Tribolium castaneum: one gene and its partner. The protein of the gene in region 1 purifies or fractionates together with the protein of each later gene. This does not show direct contact. Links are inferred from orthologs where the notes say so. Each region holds a gene or a part of one and is shown on either strand. Other genes may lie near its edges.

Evidence for each region.
Region 2: the proteins of uncharacterized protein LOC655879 (region 1) and Fs(2)Ket purify together in Homo sapiens (affinity purification with mass spectrometry; 3 studies listed by BioGRID and IntAct, with this or other methods). This does not show direct contact. The link is inferred for Tribolium castaneum from reciprocal best matches to the Homo sapiens genes PPM1G and KPNB1.

The regions. Positions count from the first base shown.
Region 1 is NC_087395.1:16,945,684-16,953,423, forward strand, and holds the start of uncharacterized protein LOC655879, read right to left. Parts: upstream 4,221-7,740; 5' UTR 4,058-4,220; coding exon 3,947-4,057; intron 3,898-3,946; coding exon 3,390-3,897; intron 1,175-3,389; coding exon 776-1,174; intron 726-775; coding exon 471-725; intron 1-470.
Region 2 is NC_087398.1:2,428,108-2,436,074, forward strand, and holds the start of Fs(2)Ket (importin subunit beta-1), read right to left. Parts: upstream 5,369-7,967; 5' UTR 5,032-5,368; coding exon 4,977-5,031; intron 4,619-4,976; coding exon 4,377-4,618; intron 4,324-4,376; coding exon 3,680-4,323; intron 3,184-3,679; coding exon 2,240-3,183; intron 2,106-2,239; coding exon 1,328-2,105; intron 1,100-1,327; coding exon of another isoform or gene 1,099-1,099; exon of another isoform or gene 1-1,098.

The sequences.
Region 1 (7,740 bases):
ATTTTAGCGAAGTCGGAAGCACTCGCTATCGCTCGGTTGTGCTTTAAACAGTTTCGTTTATTAATCGCCTTCATTAACAAACTAGTTTATTAAATAACTATTAAGAAGTGTAATGAATAAAGAAAATTAAATTTCCTATAAAAAAAGTCAGGAAAACCGTATTTCTAGCTTCAGCGGTTAAAATAATTTTTTGATATTTGACCACTGGTGAAATGAACTGGAACCGTATATTGAGCGTCTTTGGGGTCTAAACAATTAACGACAATTAACAATCCACGGGAGTTTTTTAAAAAAGATTAAATTCTTTGCTACTTTCTTTTTACGCAGCATTTTGAAAGATAAGAGACAAGCGTAAATTTTGAGTAATTTTTTTCCCATATTTCTAGTGAAAATTTTACTTGTTAGTTTTTTTAACTTTATTAAAAACGAAAAGCTGCGATTTTGTATCTCGCCAAAAAAAACTTATTTACCATTCCGACACACTATGCAACGGGAATCCCCGGCGTTGGCTACGTACAACTGGTTGCCTTTTAACAACGCCACAACTGCCGTGCAGCCACTGTCAGACCCTGGCTCTTCTTTAAAGGTTCTGACATCTGCATCTTCACTGTCATCGTCTTCCTCGTCCTCATCTTCCTCCTCCTCTTCTTCCGAACTCTCTTCCTCAGAGCCCTCCGCGTCAATTGCGATGTTAACGCCCTCATTTTCGTCCTCCGAGCTCTCCTCTACAAACAAACAAACCGTTAGTTTTGGGCCTAAAAAATGGTTTTCGCACCATTTGGACCCTCAAATGTTTGGTCTTCTTCGTCGCTGCTGTCACTCTCTTCCTCTCCACAATTCAACCAGTTTTTATACAACTGTTGTGCCGTCCGTTTTGGTCGTGTGTTTGTTGGTGTTTTTACAGGTTCTGGTTTAATGACTGCCTTTCCTTTACCCTTTTTTGACGGCGTGCCATTTTCAACAGGTGTTGATGAACTCGTGACGTCACTCTTAGCCTGGGCCTCGGAATCGGAAGGCGCAATTTCACCGTTTTGGGTTGGAAGTTCGTCTTTAGTGGACCCAAGTTCGTCTTTAGTGGACCCAACTTCGTCTTTAACCTCTGAACTGTTGGGTTTTTCGTCGGAAACTTCGCCAGGACCGTTGGTCTCCGGCTTGTTCTCCTCTTCTGTCTTATCTAAACGCAAAAAGGAGGTTTGTTAATGGTCTCGAAATTTATGTTGGCAACTATTCCATAATCAACTGTTGTTCATTCCCAGGGACGGCCGAAGGTGAGGCCTCACAGAGGAGAACAGCCAAAAGGCGAAATTCGAATCAAGATGAAAAATTAAGAAAAAACATCACATTGTGGTACTTCCTACAAAATTACGATTACAAACCACATTTTTTTAAACGTCGATTAAAGTGGGACACAAACCGTTTATTTATTTCTGCAATTATTATTATTTTTATCATTTCACTTTTTATTTTATTTATATTATATTATTCTGCAATACATTATTATTACTTAATTACGTAAAATTTTCTTTTATAAATGTTTCTAGTGTTTCTTTATTGTTATAAGAATCCACAAAAAAATGGACAATATTGAGTAAGCAATGACACTATGTGATCCATATTGCAATGTAAATAAATTTTCCGTGATAAATTGAATAAGAGTAGTTTTACTGCTGAATTGTATTTAAAGTTTATAGGTGAAAGTTTAAATCTCTTTGTAAGATTGCTTGTCAGAAGCTGCCTTACGCTCTCTTCGTTCTTCTTCTCCATATTCGTGTCCTTCGAGATCGTAAGTAATAAATGAGTAATGTGAAAAGTATTGCGTTTTTTTAACTTTAGCGCGCACGCGAACGCCAATAAAATTTTGGCAACTAATCCATAAAATTTCACAGAAAACTATTTTTCTTTATTTGGAAAATCAAAATGTAATTGAAAGTTTGAGATTATGGACAGCATGTGGAATATAATTAGTTGCATAGCCAAAAAACTGGCGCATCAACTCAATAGTGTCTGGAGAATTGCTTAACATATAAAGGTAAGAATAGTAAAAAGAATCTTTGTATTAAATTTACTGATAAATAACGAACTGATAAATGACGTCTAACAGTCGTGATCCCAATATAATTTAATCAATAATAAAAATGAATTCTTTTCGAATCGTTTTCTAGGAAATAATACCCAATGTTATCACACCTACAAATTGTGATTTTAGTGTTGAATTTTAATTTTTTTAATTAAAAAAACTGCTAAAGTCTGATTGTAAATTTAAAAATAATTATTCTTCATTGTGTTAAGAAACGATTACTTAGTGTGAAACATAAAAACATCAAAAAATTATAATAACTGAAGAAGTTAACAAAATAAGTTTGTAGCTGCAGATTTTTTAAAATATGATTTTGTGAATTTATTCAAGATTTTTTTCCGTAATCTACACATGCTTATCAACAATGTACCACTGAGTTGGTGTGCCAGTTTTTGAGCACCCTGTATAAAGGAATAATGGATATGTTCCGAGTTAGAAAATATGTAAATAGCGTCTTAAGTCGCAAATTGTTGCAACTTATACTTTAATATTCTTTCTAAAATAACGAAGACTTTTAATGTGGAGAAACGTGAAGCTTTTTGTATAAGAATAAAAGTAATTATCTTGAATTGCTACTTTCTGAAAAACCTTGAATCAAAAAATAAACTAAACAACATGAAAAACACAAAATAAAGCACGCAAATGAAAAGAATTTGACAATAAATTATTTAGAAGTAAAAAAAAACATAATAAAGCCGAGACTTTCCAAGAAAGTTAGATCACACATTTTTTTACTATTTGAAAGTAAACATTTTCAGCTCAAAGTCATTAAACATGTTAATTTAAACTCTTACGGAATAAATTTTTAAATAAATATTGTACTTGAGAAGTGTTTTTTCCGTCTTTGGTCCACTGTGTATAAATAATTGATTCTAACGCTGGAGCAAGTTGATAGATGGCAGCTCGATAGATTGAGACTGCCACAATTTCACCTTTTTTGTTTTTTATAAAAAAAGTAGTAATCTAGTAACTTCTGTTTTTTTTTACTTCGCTCTGACGCATTTTCGGCCTCAAAAGACAATGTAACATTGAGGTAATAATAAATGCTTTCCAGAAAAAAAAACACAATTACCATTCGCTTCAAGCATTAATAGTTCTTTATAAATGCCGCATTTTTAAACATTGTGATAGTCTCAGTCTACACCAGTGCCATCTGTTAAATAAAATAAAAGCTCCAACCTGCTCCACATTTTGGTTCGCGCCCGCGAATAGAAAATAAGGGAATTTGGTTCACCAGGACTATCTATATATTGTGGCCTTCACCTAACACAAACACCTATGTTGCCAACTTAACAAACTTTACGTAGCTAACCCTTAAGTCCCGCCTCGCTGGAGCTGCTGACGCCGTCGCCGCCTTGGCTCGTGGAGCTCGAGCAGGAGCCCGCTGAGGAGGTGCCTACCGTGGGGTCACTGTCTGTTTTGGCGGTCAAAAAGGGCGATTTAATGTCCCTTTTTAAACTTTTCACCGCCGGATTAGACAAGTTAGAGGTGTACTTTTCAATAACTTGCTCAATGGGCATGGCCGCCTCTTCGTACAAATTGTTAACATTTTCCTCTTCGTCGCTCTCGTTCTCGTCCTTATCATCGGCGATTTTCCTCAATTCCTCCACAACTTCTGGCGTGGCAATGAGCGCGTCAAACCTCAAAAAGCCCGAAACGAGCGCCTCCTCGATGTTTCCCTCCTTGTACTCGGGCGTGTTCTTGATGAAGTCCGGGAGCTTGTCCGAGCAATACTGGGCCACTTCCTGGCCCCCATGTCCGTCGTAGACGGCGAAAAACGAAGTGTCCTCGTCGTAGTTTAAGATACAGTTATGTGCGTCCTGGAATTGGGTTATGGGTGAGGGCGGGTTTGGGGGTGGTTTGGGTTACCTCTTGGGTCATACGCCAGCCCTGCATAGAGCTTGCCCCATAAGTTAATTTGCCGTTGGTGTCGTCGGTGGACTCTTTCTCGGTGGCCGGTTCTGATAAATACGAGCCCATTGTTGGTTGTGTTTTTGCCCAAATTACGAAACGTATTCGCTGGTGGTTTTGTTTTGGTCATTAAACAATACCGGCACTAAATTACGACTTGTTAACTCGATTCCATGCTGGACGAATTTTTACACAAAACGGCTGACATGTACCGCCAGGTGGCGTCGAGTCGACGCGCCAAAATCACGCACTTGCGTTCATTTGGCGCCATGTTCAAATTCCAGTAAAATACTTCACCAAAACTTTTTTTGATAGAAGTTGTTAACATTTATTTTGTTTAAATTATTATCTAAACGTCAAATTAAGGCGTTTGGCTGCTATGGCTGCTATGTAAACAACACTGACTAGGAATGGTCATAGAAATGGCCTCACATAGTCTGTCGGTGTAATGTTGGTTGCAGAACATTGTAAATGGAATTTGATCCTAAATTTTGAAAAAGTGCTATGTTGTAATGTTTTTAGTTAGTTCCTGTTTAAGATATAGTTTAGAATCAAACTCATTCTATCTTTTAGTGGAATACGTCATAATATTATACTATACTATAATTCTTTCTAATTAAAAAAAGAATTCACGTTACAAAATTCCCATTCCTATTATAAATCCCAAGTTAACTGATATTTATGGTTTTAAAAGTACTAAGTACTAAACATTATTTATCACAAAACAACAGTTTTTTGGATATTGCAAAAACGTGTTTCTTGAATAAAAAATTATTTTTAAACTTAGTACACGATTAAAAAAAATTATCAAAAAATCACAATTTGTAGATATGCCAACACTGGAAATTATTTCCTAGGAAACCAAAAATAATTTAGTTTTATTTTTAATCAAATGTGATGCGATAGCATATGATCACTTTGCTATCGGTGGTTTAAAAAGATATTTTAAATCAAAATAATTATTATACAGGGTGTTTCACATAATTTTACAAAACCTGCGCCTGTAAAAAGCCACCATGAATACATATTCTAAAACGATCTCAATTACAAATTTTGAAAAATTAAATGGTTTTATCTAGTTTGTTCATCGCTTAAAAAAATTACAACGTTTTTTGCGTAGTTAGGTATTAAGATAGATAGATTTGAATCATATTCATTCCGTCTCTTGGCAGAAAACATGGTAACTATTTCTAAAAAATAGCAATTCATGACTATTAATGAGACAGTGATTAGTTTGACAATGAGTTTCCAAAAATTAAATAATTAAATGTATTTAAATTTTTTGTATCTAGTGCTTTGTGACTTTTGTATATTATTTGGGTGCATACATTAGGCGCAAGACTAGTAAAGTTGTGTTTACTAATGGTCGGTTTATTAGAAAGCTATATTAAATTTTAGGTCATCAAAATTTAATGAAAAAATTTTCAAATTCTTTTTAAAACTGATCACCATTTATTAATTTTCTATTGCTTTCTGTATCTGTCTTAATTTTAGAAAAACCCACCAAAAGATCATTAAAAATTTCTCTCTTTAAAATTAAATTATCTACCACACCCCTACTACTAATTTTTTTATATTAAAAATTTATAACTTTAAGCCAATTCTTTGTTTTAAGATTTTCGTATACAATTATGTCTTAATTAATTATTTTCTATTAAAATAAAAATGTCGTAATTGAATAATATTTCAATTTTCACACAAAGACGTTTCAAAAAAATGAATAATCAGAATAAACGTATCAATGAACGTTACGAAAATTTATTCATGGAAATATTTGAATGAAACCCGAAACTCATCAGTTTGCTATAGCACACATTCCAATAAATTCTAGAAAAATTATTTTTAGCAGTATTAAAAAGAAAAGTCGAGATAGTTATATAACCAAGAAAGAATCAAGTTTTTCTACTTTTCAACGTCATCGAAACTGAAAATTATTTATAATAATCAACAACAATAAATTTTAATAAATTTATTTTAAAAGTTGTGATTTTTATATCCAGAAAGTTAAAAAAAAATGATATGGCAACATAGTACAAAAAATTCATAGTTAGTTATCACTGTAACTACTCCTCAACAATTAAAATAGAAATACGACGAAAAGACATAAGTAAGGAAAAGTGGGGAAATACCGTTCTCCTAAAAGAAAATTATTACAAATAACTCTAAAAGAAATTAAAAAATGTAATTTGCATGAATCATTTTGATATTGTGTTCTACAATAATTAGTAATATTTAATTTAGTTTTATGCAAACTGTTTTTTAAATACGTTTTTCTATACTCGTGCATTTGCAAAATATTTCTATTCATTAAAAACTGTATATTATCTTCAATCATGTAAAAAAGCAGTTATTTGTAAGTGCTTTCATAGCTTTCGCCTCTTTCTGTTTTGATCTTTAATAAGGAATTCCCATTAATTCCTTCTACTATTTTTTGAAGTTTATCAGAGCTCCAAGACTTGCTTTTTCCGTTTTTCTTTTGTACAGTATTTTCCTGTAAGAAGGACTGCGTGAAATTTATCATTCGTTTATTTATAAAAAATAAATATTTATAATATTTAGAAATATATATAAAAAATTATCAAATGGCTGTTACGTTGATGCGCAATTTTACCCGTTGCATGGTATTCCCTCACTTTCCCCTACTGACATGTTGCCAATTTACCATCCAAAAAAGGTTTGGGTTGATAAATTCGTTAAAAGTGAGTAAGGCTATTTTATTAGATTCTTTTAGAGGTTTCCTGAAACGTGAGCTTATGCGTTATTTTACATAACTACTTCCAAATTTGACACTACATTAAAAATTAATGTTGTTTTTTATTTAATAATGTCAAGAGTATGCTACTTGCACCACAATGGACACTAAGAAACTAATAAGCATATTTGACTTAATTTGACAATTGAAAAAGGCACTTGATATAGTTAGTAGTGACAATAATGAAAATTCCCATATTCTTTAAAAGTAATTAAAAAAGTTAAATTGCAACTGACGGCTGGGTAGAAATACTCGTAATTCTCATTAAGTTCATACCTCGTAATAAATATGCATGCGATGTATTTCATTTCTCGCAGTAAAAGTTTGTATTAAATAAATAAAAAGGATATGATATCGCAGCCGTCATGAATTAAAGAAAGGCTAAAACGCGTCACATATACACCCTGGCGGGATTTGTCAAAAGGGCACATTAAAACCAGGATTATGGGTCGAATTTACGACAGATCTTTATAAATAAACATGGACAGGAATATGAAAGCAACAGATTTCTAATTCAACTTTAGTTAAACTAAATAAATATTTATTTATTGGAAAGACAATATTTCCAACAAATCACCAAATACCTGCAACTAAAAGTAAAATCAAATTGTATATTTTTTCCGTTCGTTAAACGACTTTAAACGATGACTCAGCCCCCAGTAAACCTAATAAACCGAACAAAAGTCCGCCGCTGCATCATGTCATTACTTCAAATTGCGAGCCCGCAATATTGCGAGCTTTTCCAAAAATGCATCGTCATCAATCAGAATCCAACGGAGACCCAATTTAAATGCTTTCCCCACGCAAAATTACAATTTTCATTAGTAAAACGAGCGCTTTATGCGTGCATGAAAATCCTTTTCAGAAAAAAATTATTACAGTTTACTCACTTTCTTTTGTGCAATTATTTACCTTCCTTGAAAAAATCAACTCATATTACCCGGTAATGTTGTTTACAAACAACAGTAGCAATGAAGCTGTCAATATTTATCGGGAAGTG
Region 2 (7,967 bases), on another chromosome or scaffold:
TATCACACATACAAGGAATTTATAATTATAATTCTAGAATTATAATTACGAAAACATTGAGAAGGTTTCGTTATACGCATTTAAAAAACTAATGGAATTTGAATGTATCTTTTTCGTGTTTTGGCAACTACAGAAACCTTCTCAAATCACAGATTCTTTTTTACTTTGTTGCGATACCCACCCTCCCTTTCAAGCACTTTCGTATATTTAATCAGCGTGTCGACTTATACGAAAAACTCGAAAATTTTCATACACCACCCACGCAAGGCACAATCAGGCCTCACAAAAATCTTTCATAAAAAATACCAGTCACAAGATTTATTATTCTCAAATTTCCTGAGTATGAATTCAGTGAATTGGAAATTGTTTCAAAAAAATCAACCAGGGAAAAACCGAAACACGCTCCTCTGGACAGTTTTTGATTATCGCAGTCTTTTGCTTTTTAAGAGAAAAGTTAATATAAATTCGCAAAATCTAAAGAAGCACCAGAGCGTGTTTTGCTTTTTTCCGCAATGAAATTACACACAACTTCAGCGAAACAAAGAAGCAATAATAAATCAGGATTTTAAGATTACTTCTGTCTGACTGCAGTGCATAGGTAATTTCTTCACCAAAGACCATTATAAAAATAACTACTTATGATTAATTCGATATGTGAAATAGACAAATGCTTTTATTGTAATCAAGTACAACACTAAAGTGAAGACGAACGTAAAAGACGCAACAAGTGATAGAGGAGACACCACTTCACTCTTCAGTCTTGAGCTAAACCGCCTTTCACGAAACCAGGCGAAGATTCAGACACTATTCACAAGCGTTCACAGCTACGATTAGCACTCACAGTTTATCAAGAGTCCATATGCATCAGCACTCACTCTGCACCCCGAAAACCGAAAGTATTGGGGAACAATACCATGTCAAACTAGCTGACCAGCTTTACTCAACCGAGAGATGAGCAAAACTGGTCCGACTCAGCCAAAACGAAAACTAAAGTCTGCAAGAATTTTGGTTTTATGTATAATGCGAATCCAATATCGATGCCGTTGACCACACCTTCGTTAGATTTCCTTCTGTTAAACCACAACATGCCAAAGAAAATCTGAAACCATCGAAAGCACTGTCAAACTTCGCTCAGCACACCGATTTTCGCGAGACACATACAGTCCAACGCCAAGTCTCAAACGCAGCAGATCCAACCGACCCACCACAACTAACTTTATTTTAATTTTAAAAAAATCCCAGCTATAATTTTAATAATGTCTGTTTTATATTATTTGTAACGATTTTTTGCCAATTGGATCTGCTGAAACTGTCCACTCCCACTTACCAACTAGCTACAGCGGCCGTCGAATTAGCCTTCAACTTGCGCAACTCCTTCGTAGCCCAAGTGGCCAAAGTTCTAGTACGATTAGTTCCACTTCGTCTGCCTTTCGCCAACATCTCGTTGATCGGCTCCAAATCCAGGAGTTGTAAAAGTGGTGCTCCAAAAGCCGTACAGAGATCCCCCACCAATCCGGCAGCCACCGCAACCGTGGCATCAGAATTGAACGTGTCTTGTGCCACCACGGTTATAAATTGAACGATGAAAGGAATGTGCGGTTCGAGAATCAAAACGTCGGGATTAGGTGTCGGGCCATCGCCTTTTAAACCCTGTACAATGCCCGTGTAAGCATCAAGTACACCTTCGCGTAATTCGTTCAAATAATCGACCATATCGAAATCATCTCTATCGACTTGTGCCTGCGACGCCTGCGCTAGTGTTGTGAGAACAACATCGAGGTATTTTTTGAATTCGGGGCCGATACTTAGGACGATATCGCCGAACACTGAAAGAATCTGTGGCTTGACGCTACGGTGGACCGATTGATCGCCGAGATTTTCGAGCAGAAGAGTCATGATTTCGTCGCAATAAGGAAGAGCTTTTAGTTTGAGAGCGCGGAAAATGTCACCGGTTAGACCGACTGCGGTACCACAAACTTGGTACTCTTGGTGGTTTTTAAGGCCGATGTAAAGAAACGGCTTGAACGCGTCCATGTATTTGATGAAACCTTCACCGAGGACTTCCACCAGGGTTGACACTGCCATCAGTGCGTCCTCTTGTACACCTAACACAAACAACGTTTAATTCCCGTACTTATAATTTTTTATAATACGCCTTCAAACTAAAATCTTTAATACAATTCACTGTAAAGTGTAAGCGAAAGATTTTATTTGAAGGCGCATTTGGCTGGTGAATTACCTCCACTTTTGCACGAATTCGAGTTGAACATGGTCAGCATAGCAGTCATGATGGCGTCGGATATTTGCGGCGCGTCCTCTGGTGTAACTTTCCTCAAAACCGACTGAAGTGTTCCGCACAACAACGACTGGAGATCATTAAACTGTGACCTATCATTGTGGCTCGTAATGTGTGTTTCCATTTGTAAAACTTGTTGCAAACGTTCAAGAATCACCATTGTTGTCTTTTGTACGGTGACGTAGCAATCTTTCGGTGAATTCTTCACCATTTCCATCAAAGCCTCGTAGGCTGCCGGTCTGAGATTAGCTTGAGCGCCGTCTGGACGGTCCGTAGTCTCCAAAAGCCGCTGAATTATATACTCAAAGTATTGTGACAACATGTACGTATCGGGAGTTCCCGTGTCTTCGTTAGTTTCAGCTGCATCGTAGGCGGCTTCAGCCAATCCAGAAAACGCCCAACAGACATTCGCCGCAACTCGCGGTTCAGCCTTAAGTCCATTAATCAAACTTTCCAGCAAGGGCTTAAGATAATTCTCGTTAATGGCCGCTTCGGGAATAATTTCGCAAATTCGGCCGAAAGTCCAAGCCGCAGTATCTCTCACGATAACGCTACTATCATACATCAGCTCTATCAAGGTTGGCATGGCTTGCTCCACCAATGGTTTAAGAGTGGTGTTATCTAACCCGCCAAGAATCGAGCCGAAAGCCATAAGCGACGCATCTCTAAATCGCCAATTCTCAGACTTTATGTTTTCTTTGATAAAAGGTAAAACGTGTGGAACAACTTCGTTTTCGCAGCATGTGGCCAAAAGCATTAAACAAACGCCGGCAGCTTTGCTCGGGTTCCAGTCGTCTTCGTCATCGAGCTCTTCTTGCTTCGTTAGTTTTTGCAGAAGGATGGGTACGATAAATTGGAGCGCACCTTTGGCGTAGTGGCGTGATACTCTGGAAGAAATATTCGCTTAACTGACTGACGGTTGAGTCAGCGTAACAGGACAATGAATAATCTCCGTTCTAATAATAGGCTTGTTGACTTAACACTTATCTATTTTTTGATGTTTCAAACGCAAATTGTGAAAATCAAATCAAAACAAGGCTTTTATCGATCATAAAAATACCAAACTAAAGTTAGCAACACAAAAGCATCGTTAGTTTAATTTGTGTTTATAAAAATCTGACTAGGTTTATGAAACTACTACTAATCTGATTCTTTTAATAGCATGGCAAAAGCCGTAAAAAGATTATTTATTCTTGTTAACATTTATTGTGGGAATTCTCTGACCGAAGTAAAAACAGAAAAACTTAGTTATCTAATGATATTTAACGATTAGCTGATTAAGTTACGAATTTATCATATCGCTCACAGACTGGATTTCACTTAAACGCATAAACAGGGAATTACAGTTTTTACTAATAGTCATTCCAGAAATGATGCTCTTACCTGGCTGGGGGCCGGCCTGCATCCGCTGCCTCATTGGCTTCGATGGACAAATCCACTTCTTCGTCGCTAACATTCGACCAAAATTCAATACCTTGAAGCGCCACGGCATCATTGTCAGATTTCATCGCTTCTAAAGTAATGGGAAAGAGAGCTTGGCCCATGTAGGGCTCCATATATTGATAATACAAAGACATAATTTTAACCAAACATTGCAACGCTGCAACTTTAATTTGCGTATCTGGCGACTGAGTGGCTTCGCACACCACCTCCATGATGAAATTCCTTTCAGTTGCCTTTTCGAAGTTAGCTTTAGTGAATTCGAGCGAATTTAACAACGCCTGCGTTGCCGCAAATCTGACATGATTGCTGGGCTCTGTGGAGCGCATTCCGTGGATGATCGCCGTGAGGATGTCGTTGGATTGGGTAACGAGCACGTCTGAGTCGATTTCCTGGCAGATGTAGCCGATGGTCTCCAGCGTTGCTTCTTTCTGCATTTCGGTGGAGTTTGGTTGGACTACGTTGTTCACTAGCGTGACGATCAGGTCGGGCCATTGGTGGTGCGGTAATTCGGTGACAGCGATGTAAGCCACGCATTGGGCCGCTGACGAAGGCCGGTTGGTCTCCGTGCCCAGGGCCCCTACGACCTGGAGAAAACGGTCGAAAAAAACACTAACAAAACCGGTATATAAACAATTACGTTTTTCTTGACGTAGTTGCGTATCTCCTCCGGTGCCGACAGCCATCTCTGTTGACATAACTGTTTGATGTTGGGATCTTTGGACGTGAGTTGGTTTTTCAGTTGGAGACCGGCGGCCATGCGAGCAACGGGACTGTTGCCCCCATGTCGCAAGATATCGGATAGAGTCTTGATAAATTCTAAGATATTAGCGGCGGCAGCTTGCTCAAGAAATGTTGATGCTTGCTCCAGTTCATTTTTATCTGGAAATCGTCAAATAGGCTGTGATTAACGGAAAATCACTGAGGATAATGACCTCGAAAAGTGTGAGGTTATGATGAAACTTTGCGAGCTTGAGGGCTTGAAAAGAGTTGCATTTTGGGAAAAAGAGCGACCGACGTTTCGACGCCGGTGCGGCGACATCGTCAGGTTTTTGGTTTAAGCCCTGACGGGGAGTTGCTTGGGAATTTCGTAAAATGTCAAAGCGGGTTGAAATTTATCGAAAAGGCGGAAATGAGGCGGGGTTGAGAGGAACGTGCTTTTTGATGATTAGGCATGCGATTATATGGCAGTGGTTAAAAAATGATGGCAACTTGTCAAATAGTCAAGTTTTGTACTTACCGGGAGAAACAGTTTTTTCTAGCACTTGTATAAGTCGGAGTGTTTCTTGATGCATTTTATTGTAGAATTACTGACTAATATTGTAAACTTAACGGTTTTAATTAATTGGTTCTTGCAATCAGCCGGCTAACACCACATGGACATGTAGGATGATTAAACTGGCAGGAAGGCTATATTCATACGCTGCTGCTAACGTATGAATGACGGTTCCTTATCGTTATTTCAAAACTACGGCCAATTTCAATCGTTGTTTACCCAAATTATATCAAACAGCGGTTCACACAGTTGTAACAATTTACTTGAAGCACTTTACGTTGTAAATTAACTTGTGATTTGTCACTAACGATAATAAACACTTATACTGTATTTCAGTGCGGAGACAAGATGACCGTTAAACCGATTTGCTTTGCGCGCATTTTCTTAATAGGTTTCTGTACAGTTTACAATGATTACTGCTTTTTTTGATAGATGTCGCAACCATTTATGTTTCTAAGCCAACTTTATAGTGCTTATTCAAAAATATAATATAGGATATTACATTGTTTTTAGTCCCATTTTACTGCAGCTGACGGTTTTTATGATAAACCAATTGTAAATATAACTTGAAAAACAATTTAATGAACTATTTTTCAGACTTTTGACTGTATATATCCCTTTAACGATTCTGTATAAAAATAGGATTCATTTTAAACATAATTGGCCACGCCTATCAATATTTAATTGACTAAAATAACAATATAAATAATTATTTTCTCATTTTTTTTTGACCTAAATTACTTCTCCTGCTCAACGTTTGATTACTATTCATTTTAGTCATAAAAAAAATTCAATTCAAATTATTATTATTATTATTATTATTATTATTATTATTATTATTATTATTATTATTATTATTATTATTATTATTATTATTATTATTATTATTATTATTATTATTATTATTATTATTATTATTATTATTATTATTATTATTATTATTATTATTATTATTATTATTATTATTATTATTATTATTATTGTTATTACTATTATTATTAAGATGTTTCATTTATTGCTATAGGGATGTTAAAAGTGGGTTTATTTTAAAATTAGGTAAAGTCGAGTACTTTCTTCCTGGTGAGCAAAACAAGTTTAGAGCAGAGTGTAATGCATTGTTTCTTGGGTGTTTTGCGAGCACTTTGTGTTATTTTGAACGCACTTAGCTGCACAAACCTGATGGTATCTTGCATACTGTGAATTTATATTTAACATGTTGCGTAGACACATGCATTTCCATTAAAAAAGAAACCACCTGATCGAAGAAAAGGTGAAGGCTTTAGGGAGTAATTAATTGTGGTCATTAATAAAATCTGTAGAAATATGTGGCTTGAGTGTAAGTAACTTCGTAAATATGGGTTTTACAGTGTCCACCACCTTTAATTGCCTTAATAAAACCAATTTAAAAGTCATAACATTCGCCTTTAATATCCAATAAATAAGAGTATAAAGTTTTTCTTTGGACAAACAAACAACTTATGAGGACAGTCGTACACAATAAAGGATTTTTATGGGTATTTCGTAAACGACGAATTTTCAAAAAACGAGCTAAATTGCAATATAATTGCAACATAAATAAAATTGTTGGCGTGCTTGCAGTGGGTATAGGTTCGTATTTGCAATTTGTTGATATTCCCCGGAGTATTATACAAGTACTCTGTATTTATTGTAATGACGCTCTTATGCATTACCAACGCCCGAGAAAGCATATTGAAATAATTGTGGAATTTATTACTGACCGTGGCTTTTTAACACGACCCTGATAGCGTAATTGCCAAGATGGTTACCAATTTTTAGCTTTCTTCGTTTGCCGGAAGGACATGATTCTTCGGACTGCACTTCCTGGTGTGGCAATGTCCACGAGCTACCTTACAGGTGCATCTACGCACATATTTTTTTATTTCAAACCTTAGGAGATGATGGTCTTAAATCTAAGACATGGACCAAAATAGTTTTTGTGTTTTGCTCTATAATTTTATTTCGAACTAAGTATTTCTAACTAAGATAACTACATTATATTCTCAACTTTTATCTGTTTTTTTTTAATATTTGTTTAAACTTTTTCCTTTTTTATCATTATTATTATTATTATTTAGCATCACTTTGCGTTTCATGTCTTCGTGAACCTGTAACATGCTTAAGGCAGGCGTTATTACAGTGTGCGGTCATGCCTGAATCGCCTAATTTGCAGGGTAACCTTTGGCAAAATCTCCTTCATTCGCATTGATTTATAGGAGGAATTTGCAAGTATCGTAAGCACATACACTCGCAATTATTGTCACCCTCTATCCGGAACGGATACTTCAATAGGTCAGTATTCCACGAAGGTGAAGAATTACATCACGTTGGATAAACAAAGTTTCATATTGTGATTTATAAGTGCAAGAAAAGCGAGCTGTTGCAATAATTTAATCCGCAGGTCTTTTGTCGTGCTTATATTCAGTCTGATACTGTATACAATAAACCAATTCATCTCCATCGGCATTCAAAAATGAGCATAAGTGAGAACGGAGATGTAAATAAGACGTTGTTCTAGTAAAAATACAGCGACAGTAACGAGATTTATGCACAGGAGGTTGTAAAATATTGCTCAGCTTGTGCAAAAGTATCAGAATTTCTCAGACAATTCCTGGAAAGATTTTTTCGATTAATTCTCACTTTGCGCTCCGAGACCTCACACCACGTCGGGGAAAGGACATGTTTTGCTCATTATCTGCGTTACTTTTCGCCCAGAATGCTGATAAAATGGGCCATAAATTTGCCACTCTGACGCAGAAATATTTAATAGGTGCATTTAATTCCATTTCGCTATCGCTTATTAGATACAAATACAAATCGCCGACATTGATGATGACAGTCCGGTGTCTTTGTCTAAAATAAATCAAATTTTATATCGGCTGCCATATTAACTTTTAATAGTACAAGAAATGAATCATAAATACTAATCACTCATTC